Linked DNA regions of Caenorhabditis elegans. The protein of the gene in region 1 purifies or fractionates together with the protein of each later gene. This does not show direct contact. Each region holds a gene or a part of one and is shown on either strand. Other genes may lie near its edges.

Region 1 (3,695 bases):
CACAAACTCTATCTTGTAGTAGTATCAAAAAATCGTACTACGAGACCCGAAGAACTCGGGGGATGTCCAACTGGGGGGATTACCAACTCGGGGGATTGGCCCCGCCGACAGAACCGTGGCTTGCAATACGCCCATTTCTGCAACTGCCGCACGGTTTTGAAACTGTATTTTTCTTGTTAATTCTCGCTCTATTGAGAAAAATACAGTTTCGAAACCGTGCGGCAGTTGCAGAAATGGGCGTATTGCAAGCCACGGTCCTGTGGGCGGGGCCAATCCCCCGAGTTGGTAATCCCCCCAATTGGACATCCCCCGAGTTCTTCGGGTCTCCGTACTACGACTCCAATAAAAATCTGAGCTATTTTCGAATTAAAATTTTATAAAAGGAATTGTACTATTATTATATATTTTCAAGTTTGCGGGATGATATGTCTAAAATTCCTTTGAAAAAATTCCTAGAACTACTGTAGTTTTTGAATCTATCTGAACTATCCTGAATAATTTGACAAAATGCAGTTATGGAAAAATTGTTCTATGTTAAATAATGTTTATATCATACAAAAATTAACAGGTAATGCTGAACATCGGAATAGAAATACCTATATGGAAAATCTAAGATGGAAAAAAAATTATAGACATCTCCAAGTTTGACCAATCTGTGGGAATGATTTTCCCTTGTCCAGAGATCTGAGAGATTTCAGCTCGTCCTCGGTCAATTTGATTTTTATGGTCTGGAAAAAAATTATTCTAAATTGTTTGAAAATACAGGTTTCTCACATTGTGTAAATTATCGTGAATTCTCGATGGAGTTGCAGATTTTGGAATCATAGAAGTATTACTGCAGTGTGCAAAAGCATAGAGAATTGCTTGCGGAGTCTGATTGTATTTTTGACAAAGATCGACCAATGGTTTCTCTTGAAGAATTTCTTTATCTCCCCAGCATAGAGAAGAATATGATTGAACGACGATATTGTTCAGATCACAGAACTTTTTAAGAGTTGGACGAGTCAAGTACGGTTGGTATTCGTATTGATTGAGGACTGGACGAATTTTTGCATACTCAAACATTTCAACGAGATGATAAACTTCATAGTTGGACACTCCAATTGAACGAACTCTTCCAGACTCTGAAAAATGTAATTTTTAATTTTTTTTAAAGATGGAATTTTGTAAAGTGTCACAACTGCTCAGTTGTAATACTAACATTATACTTAGAAAATCTAAAAACGGAACTTCATCAATTCATAGGTTGTTTCATTTATAAATATAATTTTCTGAACATTGGAATCTACTAATTACATTGCAATTGCAAAAGTATTCTTAGAGTAAGATGAGAGAATGATTTTTTTGATCGGATTGATCTACCACTATTATTTCAAAATAATTGATAACGCCAACCACGTTGAAAAAGGAACTCAACTTTATATGAAATGACCATGAAACCAACATACCTTTTGCCTTTTCAAGTGTCTGCCAAACAATTTTCCTTCTACTTTTGTTAATTTCGTAGTCATCATCGTTTCCAGTATCACGGTCACGTGGATAGTGAATTAAAAGAAGATCTACATAACTGAAAATAGAAATAATTCTGATGATAACTCAACAAATATTTTCCTACTCGGTTTGCAAAGTTGCAAGGGAATTGGCTAGTTGTTTCTCAGTTTCCTCCACAGTATTTTCATTGAGAGTACGAACTTTAGTAGTGATGAACACATCTTCACGTGTCAAGCCAAATTGTGGTAGATATTTCTAAAATTTTAGAGGTTTGAATAGTTTTTCAGAAATCAGTTTAAATTTACCTTCAGGGAATTACCAAGAAACGTTTCGTTTTTGTAGAGATTGGCTGTGTCAAATTGACGATATCCAGATTTCAGAGCGGCTTCAATAGAGACATCTAAATCTTGTTGAGTTTCAATTCGAGAGATTCCAAGACCAATTTTTGGCATTTCGTATCCATCGGAAAACTTGAATGCACCACCAACAACATTTGTGAAAACACTCATAGTCTGAAAATACATTTAAATGAGATAAAAGAATATAAAAATGGCAAGAAATGAAGAATAGAGGACATTAAATATAAATAAGAGATAGGTAGAGGAGGAGGGGGACAGTTCAACAAACAATGGAAGTTTCATTGAACAATTTTTGAAAGTTAAGATGTGATGTTTGTTGTAATTTACACTATTCAATGGTAATTCATAGACTTTGAACGAAGCGTTCGATCATTGAAACACTCTCTTTGCGAAGTTTGTATTTAGAGTTCAATAAGTTTACTAAACAGAGAAAAATTGAATTAACAGAAGAATGACGTTATATTGTGATCATTTCCAATCACGATAGGAACACTACCATATACACATGACCTATCCTAGTTGTTATGTTGTCTCTTCCCATTTTTCTTAAAATTAACTGAGAAATTAAAATTTTGGATGTGAGGAAGAGCCTTTATTATAAAAAGCCATGTTTCATGTGGAAATAATTCGGTACAATCCATATCGCAACTTATTTATTACAGATGTTGAAAATGTTTTTTTACATAAATATTCAGAAATTTCTACCAAAAACTAATCACACAAGTAAAAAAAATCATAAATATGGTAAACATGTAAATAAAAATAAATGTTATAAATAAAACTAATAAAATAATAAAAAAAACAAAGGTTCATGATTTAGATTTTTTAAATCTGTTTTTACACTACGATACTCTTGCTGCAAATCTGCTCCATCGACAACCAATTCCCTGCGTCTCCACTATAGACAGAACTGTCATGTTTTTATTTCAATAGAATTTCCTTATTTCTTTTCTGTATATTTTAATCTTATAATTGTTTTCGTATTCTATGAAGAACATAAAAATTCTCGCGAAATTGTAGAAACATTTTTCCATCGACTTCCGCGTATTTTGACGGCGATCTCCACTAAATATAGTCAGATTTACTTTCCAGAAACCCTCGTTCATTAAATTAAAATCTAAGTAATGTAAAATATTGCTTAAATGTTCGTACTTTGTTCTATTTTAAGCCAACTAAGACAGTGTCAAAACGAAATTTTTACCGGTTTCATCGATTGGCAAGCAAATTTGCTATTTATTTACTTTTCTTCTCTTTATGACTCATTCGAAACCCGCACAATCGATTTAACAATTTTCAGGCGAAATGGATTCGCAAGGGCGAAAGGTGATTGTCGTTGACAACGGAACAGGTGTAAGTTGCAAAATTTTATCCCATTTTATTTTCAAAAATTCTGTATTTGCAGTTCGTCAAATGCGGGTATGCAGGAACCAATTTCCCAGCTCATATATTCCCTTCAATGGTCGGTCGGCCAATCGTGAGATCGACACAAAGAGTTGGAAATATTGAAATTAAGGTAAAACTTTACACAGAAAGGTCTTATAACTGTTTTCTCACAGGATTTGATGGTTGGCGAGGAGTGCTCTCAGCTTCGTCAAATGCTTGATATCAATTATCCCATGGACAACGGAATTGTTAGAAACTGGGATGATATGGCGCATGTATGGGATCATACTTTTGGACCGGAAAAGTTGGATATCGACCCGAAAGAGTGTAAACTGCTGCTGACAGAACCACCACTCAATCCGAACAGCAATCGTGAGAAAATGTTTCAAGTTATGTTTGAGCAGTATGGATTCAATTCTATCTATGTGGCGGTTCAGGTAATAGTTAATCCTCATGATAAAA
Region 2 (7,678 bases), on another chromosome or scaffold:
AATCTCTCTGAGATCCAAGCTTATTAATAGTAAAACAAAATTAAAGTGAATTCTTAATTTCTAATCAGAAACAGTAAAACAGAAACAATGAAATTTTTCTTGATTTCCTTTAACTCAAATAATAAAAATTTTTCTGTTTCACATGTTCTTTAAAACTCATTCAATTTAATTGTTTAACATTACATGCTTAACATTACGCCCAAGAATAATAATAATTTTGCAGACGTGAATGCAGTTCGTGGAGCGATGAGCACAGTATGGAGGAGAAATGTCCGGTTGGTTCATTTTTTTCTGAGCATCAGACAATTTATATCAATTTTAGATGACCGGATGCCATTTCCAAACCAAAGATTCCACTTTTTGTTGCTGCCAGTTTGATGAGTGTAACGAGTGGAAGGGAGAGTAAGTTACTTTTTTTTGTGAAACTTTTTTGAAATAGGAAATACGAAAATTTTAGGTACGAAATACTTACAAGAATTTTTAAATAGATTCCAAAGAAAAAAAGAAAAAAATATATAAAGATTCATTACACATTTTTAGAAAAAAAGTTGAATCGAAAAATCTTAAAGCAGACTTCATCTATATATTGGCTATTTTTAAAACAATTTTTTTCAGCGGAACCGAGTTCAAAGCCGGAGAAACTAGCTCAAAATCGAAAGCTGTTCCAAGTGCTCCAAAACTCGGTGACGTCATCATGCCAACTGCAGCAACCCGTAAGAATGTTCGTGTGCATTGAAATTGCTTTATAGGATGAGATCAATTTTCTAATGAAATTTGAAAATCAAGTAAAACTTGTGAAACAGTAATTTTTTCAAGTGACTAAAACAATTGCTTGCTGATTTGAACCAAAATGCTGAACTATTATGGTTCAGTTGAAATTTTAGTTTTCAAATTATTTAAATAACACTAAAATTACAGCAAAATTTAAACTTTCAGAAAAGTGAAGACATCGTTCAAATTCCAACTACTGTCGCTCCAACCAGGAAGAGCAGTTTTGTCGAGCTTCCTTGATTTCTTAATAAAAAATTTATTATTTTTCTAATGGTTTAAAATTTTCCCTAACTGATTAGTTCATTTTGCATGAAATAAATGTTCAAAATAAAAAAAAAGCCTTTTAACAAAGTTTTCAAAAAATAATAAAATTTACAGAAGCATCAAAACGGTTCGTTCCAACTCGTACTTCTTCTATAATTGAAATCTCATTAAATTGTGCAAGTTTTTTTTTTATGAAACGACAGTAAAAAGCATACCATGAGAGTGTTATTACATTAATTTTTCCCACGTAATTAAATTTAAACACTGAAACGGTAAAATTTTTTGAACCTGCTAATAATATGTTAAAGTTCCAATTTCTTTATTGTTTTCAGATCACTATAGGTGACAACATGTAGCTCACTCACGCTCATACCACGAACTTTATCATACCATGATTTGTCCATTGCCCCCGTCATTATCTATATATGTCCTGCATAGTTAGCAGCCTGAAACCAATAATTTATGTGTTTTCCCTTCTTTTTTCCATAATTTCTTATCAGTTTCAATTATTTTTTGATCAGAATATTCCAACTGATTAGTCTTTATAAAAACGTGGTCAGTGTCTTCAAATATTGTTCTTATCATTTATTCATTAGTAGTCTTGGAAAGTGTCCGGTTTTAACGGAATACACTAGACTAGGCTATCATGATTTTGAATATATCCGTTTCTTTGCTAATATTTCTGGCGTTTTATGGATTTTCAAGCGATGCAAGTGAGTAGTAGAAGTGCCTGGAAGTGTTTAGAAAAGTTCTAAAAAAATATTACTGTTTCTCACTAGGGAGTGCTTTCACTATACGGTGCGATCGAGTAAAAGTAAACGTGTTATGCGATAGCTGGCATCTTAGGCTTTCAGAATCTGTAATTTGTTTCGGCGGAAGACCTCTGTGAGTCTGGAAATTTTCATCTGAAAATGTAGTACTGAAATCAGTTCATTTCCTATGGTTAACAGTGGATTTTGTCTCTGGCGCCAACAGAAGTCTCACCACAATGGTGGAAGGGCGAAATCATCGCTTCGGTGGTCGAGTGGTGAACGCGTTCGCCTCTTGAGCAGAAGTTTGTCGGTTCGGTTCCCACACATGGTTTAAATTTTGGGTTCTTTTATACAAAATTTTTAGAACGGGAAACAAATGTTTAAAACAGTTTTTTGAGGTTTTTACATTACTTTTTTGCTTTTTGATTGAACCACAATTACCCTGGAAACTTTTCAGAAATTTTTATTTTTTTCGAAAATTGCCACTTTTTTCTCCCATGAGAAAATTGGTTCCAAAAATTTTGTTTGAAATTTTTTCAAAAATGTATGAAATATTGTAGAGTGTCACGAATAACTTATTTTTCATTGTTTTCAATGACCGAATCACTGATTCTGATGCCGTATCAAGACGTTTTACCAAATCGATATTGGCAAAACATCTTGTTTTTGAGGCTCCATATCTCTGCAGAAAAAATCGCACTAAAAAGTGATCAACTAGAAACTTGTTAAACACAATGTGATCTAAAACTTTTCAGTTGAACACTTTTTTGTAAAAAATTTGGTTCCCAAGATATAGACCTTTAACTATTTAGAATATTCAAAAATAATGACGCTCAAATCAATTGGTTCCAACCTGGCAACCAAATTTTTTACAAAAAAGTGTTCAACTGAAAAGTTTTAGATCACATTGTGTTTAACAAGTTTCTAGTTGATCACTTTTAGTGCGATTTTTTTCTGCAGAGATATGGAGCCTCAAAAACAAGATGTTTTGCCAATATCGATTTGGTAAAACGTCTTGATACGGCATCAGAATCAGTGATTCGGTCATTGAAAACAATGAAAAATAAGTTATTCGTGACACTCTACAATATTTCATACATTTTTGAAAAAATTTCAAACAAAATTTTTGGAACCAATTTTCTCATGGGAGAAAAAAGTGGCAATTTTCGAAAAAAATAAAAATTTCTGAAAAGTTTCCAGGGTAATTGTGGTTCAATCAAAAAGCAAAAAAGTAATGTAAAAACCTCAAAAAACTGTTTTAAACATTTGTTTCCCGTTCTAAAAATTTTGTATAAAAAAGGCCAAAATTTAAACCATGTGTGGGAACCGAACCCACAAACTTCTGCTCAAGAGGCGAACGCGTTCACCACTCGACCACCGAAGCGATGATTTCGCCCTTCCACCATTGTGGTGAGACTTCTGTTGGCGCCAGAGACAAAATCCACTGTTAACCATAGGAAATGAACTGATTTCAGTACTACATTTTCAGATGAAAATTTCCAGACTCACAGAGGTCTTCCGCCGAAACAAATTACAGATTCTGAAAGCCTAAGATGCCAGCTATCGCATAACACGTTTACTTTTACTCGATCGCACCGTATAGTGAAAGCACTCCCTAGTCAGTTATGATATGACAAATTGTCATATCATGACTGAGAAACAGTAATACTGGAACTGAATTCAATGGAACTGAATTCTCAATAATCATTTAATAACTTCTATTTAAAAAAATTTAAAAATTCCCATTGAAAAATATTGCCGTTTCCGAGGTATAATATTTGAGTTAGTATTTGTATTACTTAATTCGTGCAATTCGAACAAATCTTTTTTTAAACAAAATGTGGAAATTGTGGAAAGTTGATACAGAAGTTTTACAAATTAAAAATACAAATTAAAACAAATATCGAGCATGAAAAATGCATTTGAAGCTACAACTTTTTAATATTTATTTTCACAAAAAAAACTCTGTTCCAACATGATCTGTTAAAATCCCACACTTTTATGATTCTGTTGCGAACAAGAAAATGTATTAGATATAACTGTCCTCAAATGCGTTTATAAAATTTCAATAAATGCGAACCAAATGTGACTAAAACGGACAAATCTGGACTTTTGCACTCAGAAATCGATTAAATTAAGACCCTAATTCTTAGTTCGGATTCGTCAGTTTTGCTACATCTAAATTGGATTCAACGATAACAATATTTTTTGAAGACTTCTAAAGATTATGTGAAACGGTATTTAAAAAAAAATTTGTCATTTCAAAAATCATTGTAGACATCAATCTTAACATAATTGCCAACATGAAAAGTTTCTACTGCTCCGAGGTAAAAAAAAGTAAAAAAAGAAAAAATTCATAACTTTTTGTTGTTATCCCAATAAAAAATTACTGTTTCTGTGTTATAATATGAGTTTTGGATTGGTATTGAATTGATAATAGTATCTTTTTTCAATATTTGAGCAATGATTTCATTACGCTTATACACATATGTATCAGATTTTTTCAAATTGTCAAACATTTGAATTATCAGAGTTTACAATTAACAAACCTTAATTAATAGATAACAGATAACAGTTATAATTTTTTTTAGGAAAATAACTCAGTTTCAATCTGCTAAATGCAAAATTTAATATTTTTCTAATCGTAACTATTTTTCTTCAAAATTAATTTTCGTATCCTTTAATCTAAATGGGCAGCAGACTGTAAAAAAATTATTTTAGAAACTTTTTTAGAAAAAATGCTTTAAAAAAAGCTTTTTCATAATTGCATATGCAAGACTAATAGAAGAAATACGGTAATTAATGTATTGTATTCATTGCTTGCAATGTGCAGGCAAAACATGGATAAAACAGTTTTAAAAAATTCCGTTTCAACAAATTTATTTATGAAATGTAAAATTTGAAATATGTATTTCGTATGGTAAAAATTTTCATAACCACAATTTACAGAACTGGAAATAGCTTTAGACATTTTCTAAACACGTAGTCCTGCACAATTTCCAAAACCATTCCAACTAACTAAACACAACTGAAGCCAATTTCCAGAGTCCCTTCCTTGCTCCGAAGTGAAGAAAGAGTATGGAATAGTTTGTCGTTGCAATGCCACGTATTGTGATACAATTGAACCACTTGGAACTGTTACTTCTGGGAAAGCAGTTGTCTATACAACATCAAGAAATGGAAAAAGAATGAACAGAAGTGAATTGAAGCATACAACTTCTTCTACAGGTACGTTAATTGTATAGGAAGTTCCATGAAGGCACAGAATTCTTGCCTGCATTCCTGTCTGCCTGCCTCCAGAATACACCGGAAGCTTATCAGTAACTTCTGGTTCGAAACTGATGCAAAATAGGCGGTAGGCAGGCTCTTAGATAGAGAGGCAGGCACCGCTCAACTAACACAAAAACCTTTATAATATTAGAATTTAGAGAATGATATTTTTTTATTTTGAAGTTGGCAAAAAATTATTCTACTGTTTCACAATTATTTTGTAACAATTGTTGATATGATACATCGTTTTTGTAGCCAAAACAAAAGTATATGTGAACACAACTCAAAGTTTTCAACCGGTAATGGGATTTGGAGCTGCATTCACTGATGCTGCTGGAATTAATATGAAGATGCTGCCACAGACAATGCAAGATCAAATTATTCAGCAATACTTTTCCGATGATGGTAAGTTATTTTCAAAAGATTAAGCTTGAAAAATAAATAATTTAGGTCTCGGGTATGTTTTTGGACGAGTTCCAATGGCTTCAACTGACTTTTCAACTCACGAGTACAGTTATGACGACGTTAAATTTGATTTTGATCTCAAAAATTTCAATTTAACAGTGGAAGATCTCCAGTATAAAATTCCATTTATCAAGAAGGCAATGACAGCTTCTGGAGGGAAATTAAAGCTATTTGCAACTCCATGGAGCTCCCCAGGATGGATGAAAACTTCTGGAAGAATGGTTGGTGCCGGAGAGCTATTGGGAGATCAGAATGGAAAATACTATCAGACATGGGCACAGTACTTTGTAAAGTAAGTTCTTATTTTCAAAGAAATAAAAAATAAAATTATAAAATGAAAGATTCTTCGAAGCCTATCACGCTCAAGGTATTGACTTTTGGTCTTTGACACCACAAAACGAGCCAACAACTGGAATTGATCCACTTTGGAAATGGCAAACACTCTTTTTCGATGCATCAATGGAACGAAATTTTATAAAGAAACTTTTGGGACCAGCACTTGCTTCATCACCAGTGACTAAGAATTTGAAGATTATGATTAATGATGATCAGAGAATTAATTTGCCACACTGGCCAAATGTAGTAAGTTATTGGTGGGATAAAACATTGAGTAATAGGTAGAAATGATTGAATGACTAAAAATTAATTAGATACTGTTTCACATTCAAAATAAATATATTAAAATTATAAACAAAACAGTAATCCAATACGAGAAACAAAACCTCTTTTATTTATTGAAAATTTTCAAAACTTTTATAGCTCTTTCCTTTGTTTATTTTTTTGTTTTCTATTAGGTACTTACCGTTTTTTAACACTATTAAGACTCCATTGTAATTAAGTATTTTCGAATTTTTTTCGAATCAAGACACTAGAACGGTTATTTTAATTTTAAAACTCGCTTTCACCTACAATTATTACTGAATTGACCGAATAGTTCAACAGTTGTGTAAATTGTTTTAGAAAAAATTAAAATCGAACGACAAAATGTGCAAAACTGATAAGAAACGTAATGCTAAAATGGATTTGTTGAAACATTGAAACATATCAGATATTCAAAAATTGTACTGTTTCACATTCAAAATAAATATATATATAGAAATTATAAACAAAACAGTCGAAACAAAAGTACTGTTTTTGGGAATCAAAATTGAGGTATTTTTGAGCTTTCCGTAGTCTTTGGTAAATTATGAAACAAAGTGTAATGAAGTATTTATTGACTAATTGTTAGAATTTGAAGATTATGATGAATGATAATCAGGAAATTATTTTGCCAAATTGGCCAAATGTGGTGAGTTGTCGTTTTGTTGAAACAGTTATGCAACAGTAGGGAAAAACATAAAATAATCAAACTTTGTGCTGTTTTACATTCAAAATAAATATAAGAAAATTATTATTGCCATCAATCTTTCTTTGGCCTTGGGAAGAGTTATCCGCAGAATTTACCTATTTGAATTTTTAACCCTTGATTAAAAATCATATCCCATTCCGACGTCCCCACTCTTTTAAAATAAAATTTTAGATTTTAACGGATCCAACTGCTGCTCAATACGTCCACGGAATTGCAATTCATTGGTATGAAGACTTCATTGACCCAGCAACCGTACTCACTGAAACTCACGAGAAGTTCCCAGACTATTTCCTTTTGGCAACTGAAGCATGTGCTGGATACTTCCCAGCAGATGGACCAAAATTGGGATCATGGTCTAGAGCTGAACAATATGCAAATGATTTGATTAAAGATATGGGAAATTGGGTTGGAGGATGGGTTGATTGGAATTATATTCTTGATTTACAAGGTTGGTTTGTGAAGTGTAGCAACACTTGCGATTTTTTAATTTAAAAACATCAAAAACCATAGTAAGAAACAGATTTAGAATTTTAAATCTTTGATATAACTAGGTTGAAACAGTTTTCTAATATTTATTTTCCAGGAGGACCAAATCTTGCCAAAAACTTTGTCGATTCAACAATAATCGTGAATGCAACTGCTCAAGAGTACTACAAACAACCAATTTGGCATGTAATGGCTCAATTCAGTAAATTTGTGAAACCGGGAGCTATTCGTGTTGGAATAAACATTATTGAGAAATCAGTTGATGTTGAGGGTCTTTCATTTTTGAATCAAGATGGTACCAAAACTGTGGTTTTATTGAATA

What was found.
Region 2: the proteins of K07C5.2 (region 1) and gba-4 fractionate together in Caenorhabditis elegans (co-fractionation; one large-scale study listed by BioGRID). This does not show direct contact.

What each region holds. Positions count from the first base shown.
Region 1 is NC_003283.11:10,337,808-10,341,502, reverse strand, and holds K07C5.2 (NADP-dependent oxidoreductase domain-containing protein), read right to left. Parts: upstream 2,004-3,695; 5' UTR 2,001-2,003; coding exon 1,797-2,000; intron 1,747-1,796; coding exon 1,616-1,746; intron 1,568-1,615; coding exon 1,449-1,567; intron 1,125-1,448; coding exon 775-1,124; intron 729-774; coding exon 627-728; 3' UTR 532-626; downstream 1-531. Other genes in the region: arx-2 (Actin-related protein 2), read left to right, coding at 3,153-3,200, 3,253-3,363, 3,407-3,670.
Region 2 is NC_003282.8:5,344,842-5,352,519, reverse strand, and holds the start of gba-4 (Putative glucosylceramidase 4), read left to right. Parts: upstream 1-1,622; 5' UTR 1,623-1,681; coding exon 1,682-1,748; intron 1,749-3,098; exon of another isoform or gene 3,099-3,171; intron 3,172-3,590; exon of another isoform or gene 3,591-3,611; intron 3,612-3,798; exon of another isoform or gene 3,799-3,819; intron 3,820-3,958; exon of another isoform or gene 3,959-3,979; intron 3,980-4,224; exon of another isoform or gene 4,225-4,245; intron 4,246-4,699; exon of another isoform or gene 4,700-4,720; intron 4,721-4,832; coding exon 4,833-5,015; intron 5,016-5,303; exon of another isoform or gene 5,304-5,312; coding exon 5,313-5,462; intron 5,463-5,507; coding exon 5,508-5,814; intron 5,815-5,863; coding exon 5,864-6,104; intron 6,105-6,221; exon of another isoform or gene 6,222-6,245; intron 6,246-6,636; exon of another isoform or gene 6,637-6,657; intron 6,658-6,921; exon of another isoform or gene 6,922-6,946; intron 6,947-7,041; coding exon 7,042-7,318; intron 7,319-7,365; exon of another isoform or gene 7,366-7,386; intron 7,387-7,453; coding exon 7,454-7,678. Other genes in the region: Y4C6B.7 (Activin_recp domain-containing protein), read left to right, coding at 224-275, 323-402, 616-721, 937-1,011. UniProt on the Caenorhabditis elegans protein: Glucosylceramidase that catalyzes the hydrolysis of glucosylceramides into free ceramides and glucose. C.elegans contains specific sphingoid bases, which are unique or different in structure compared to the sphingoid bases found in other animals.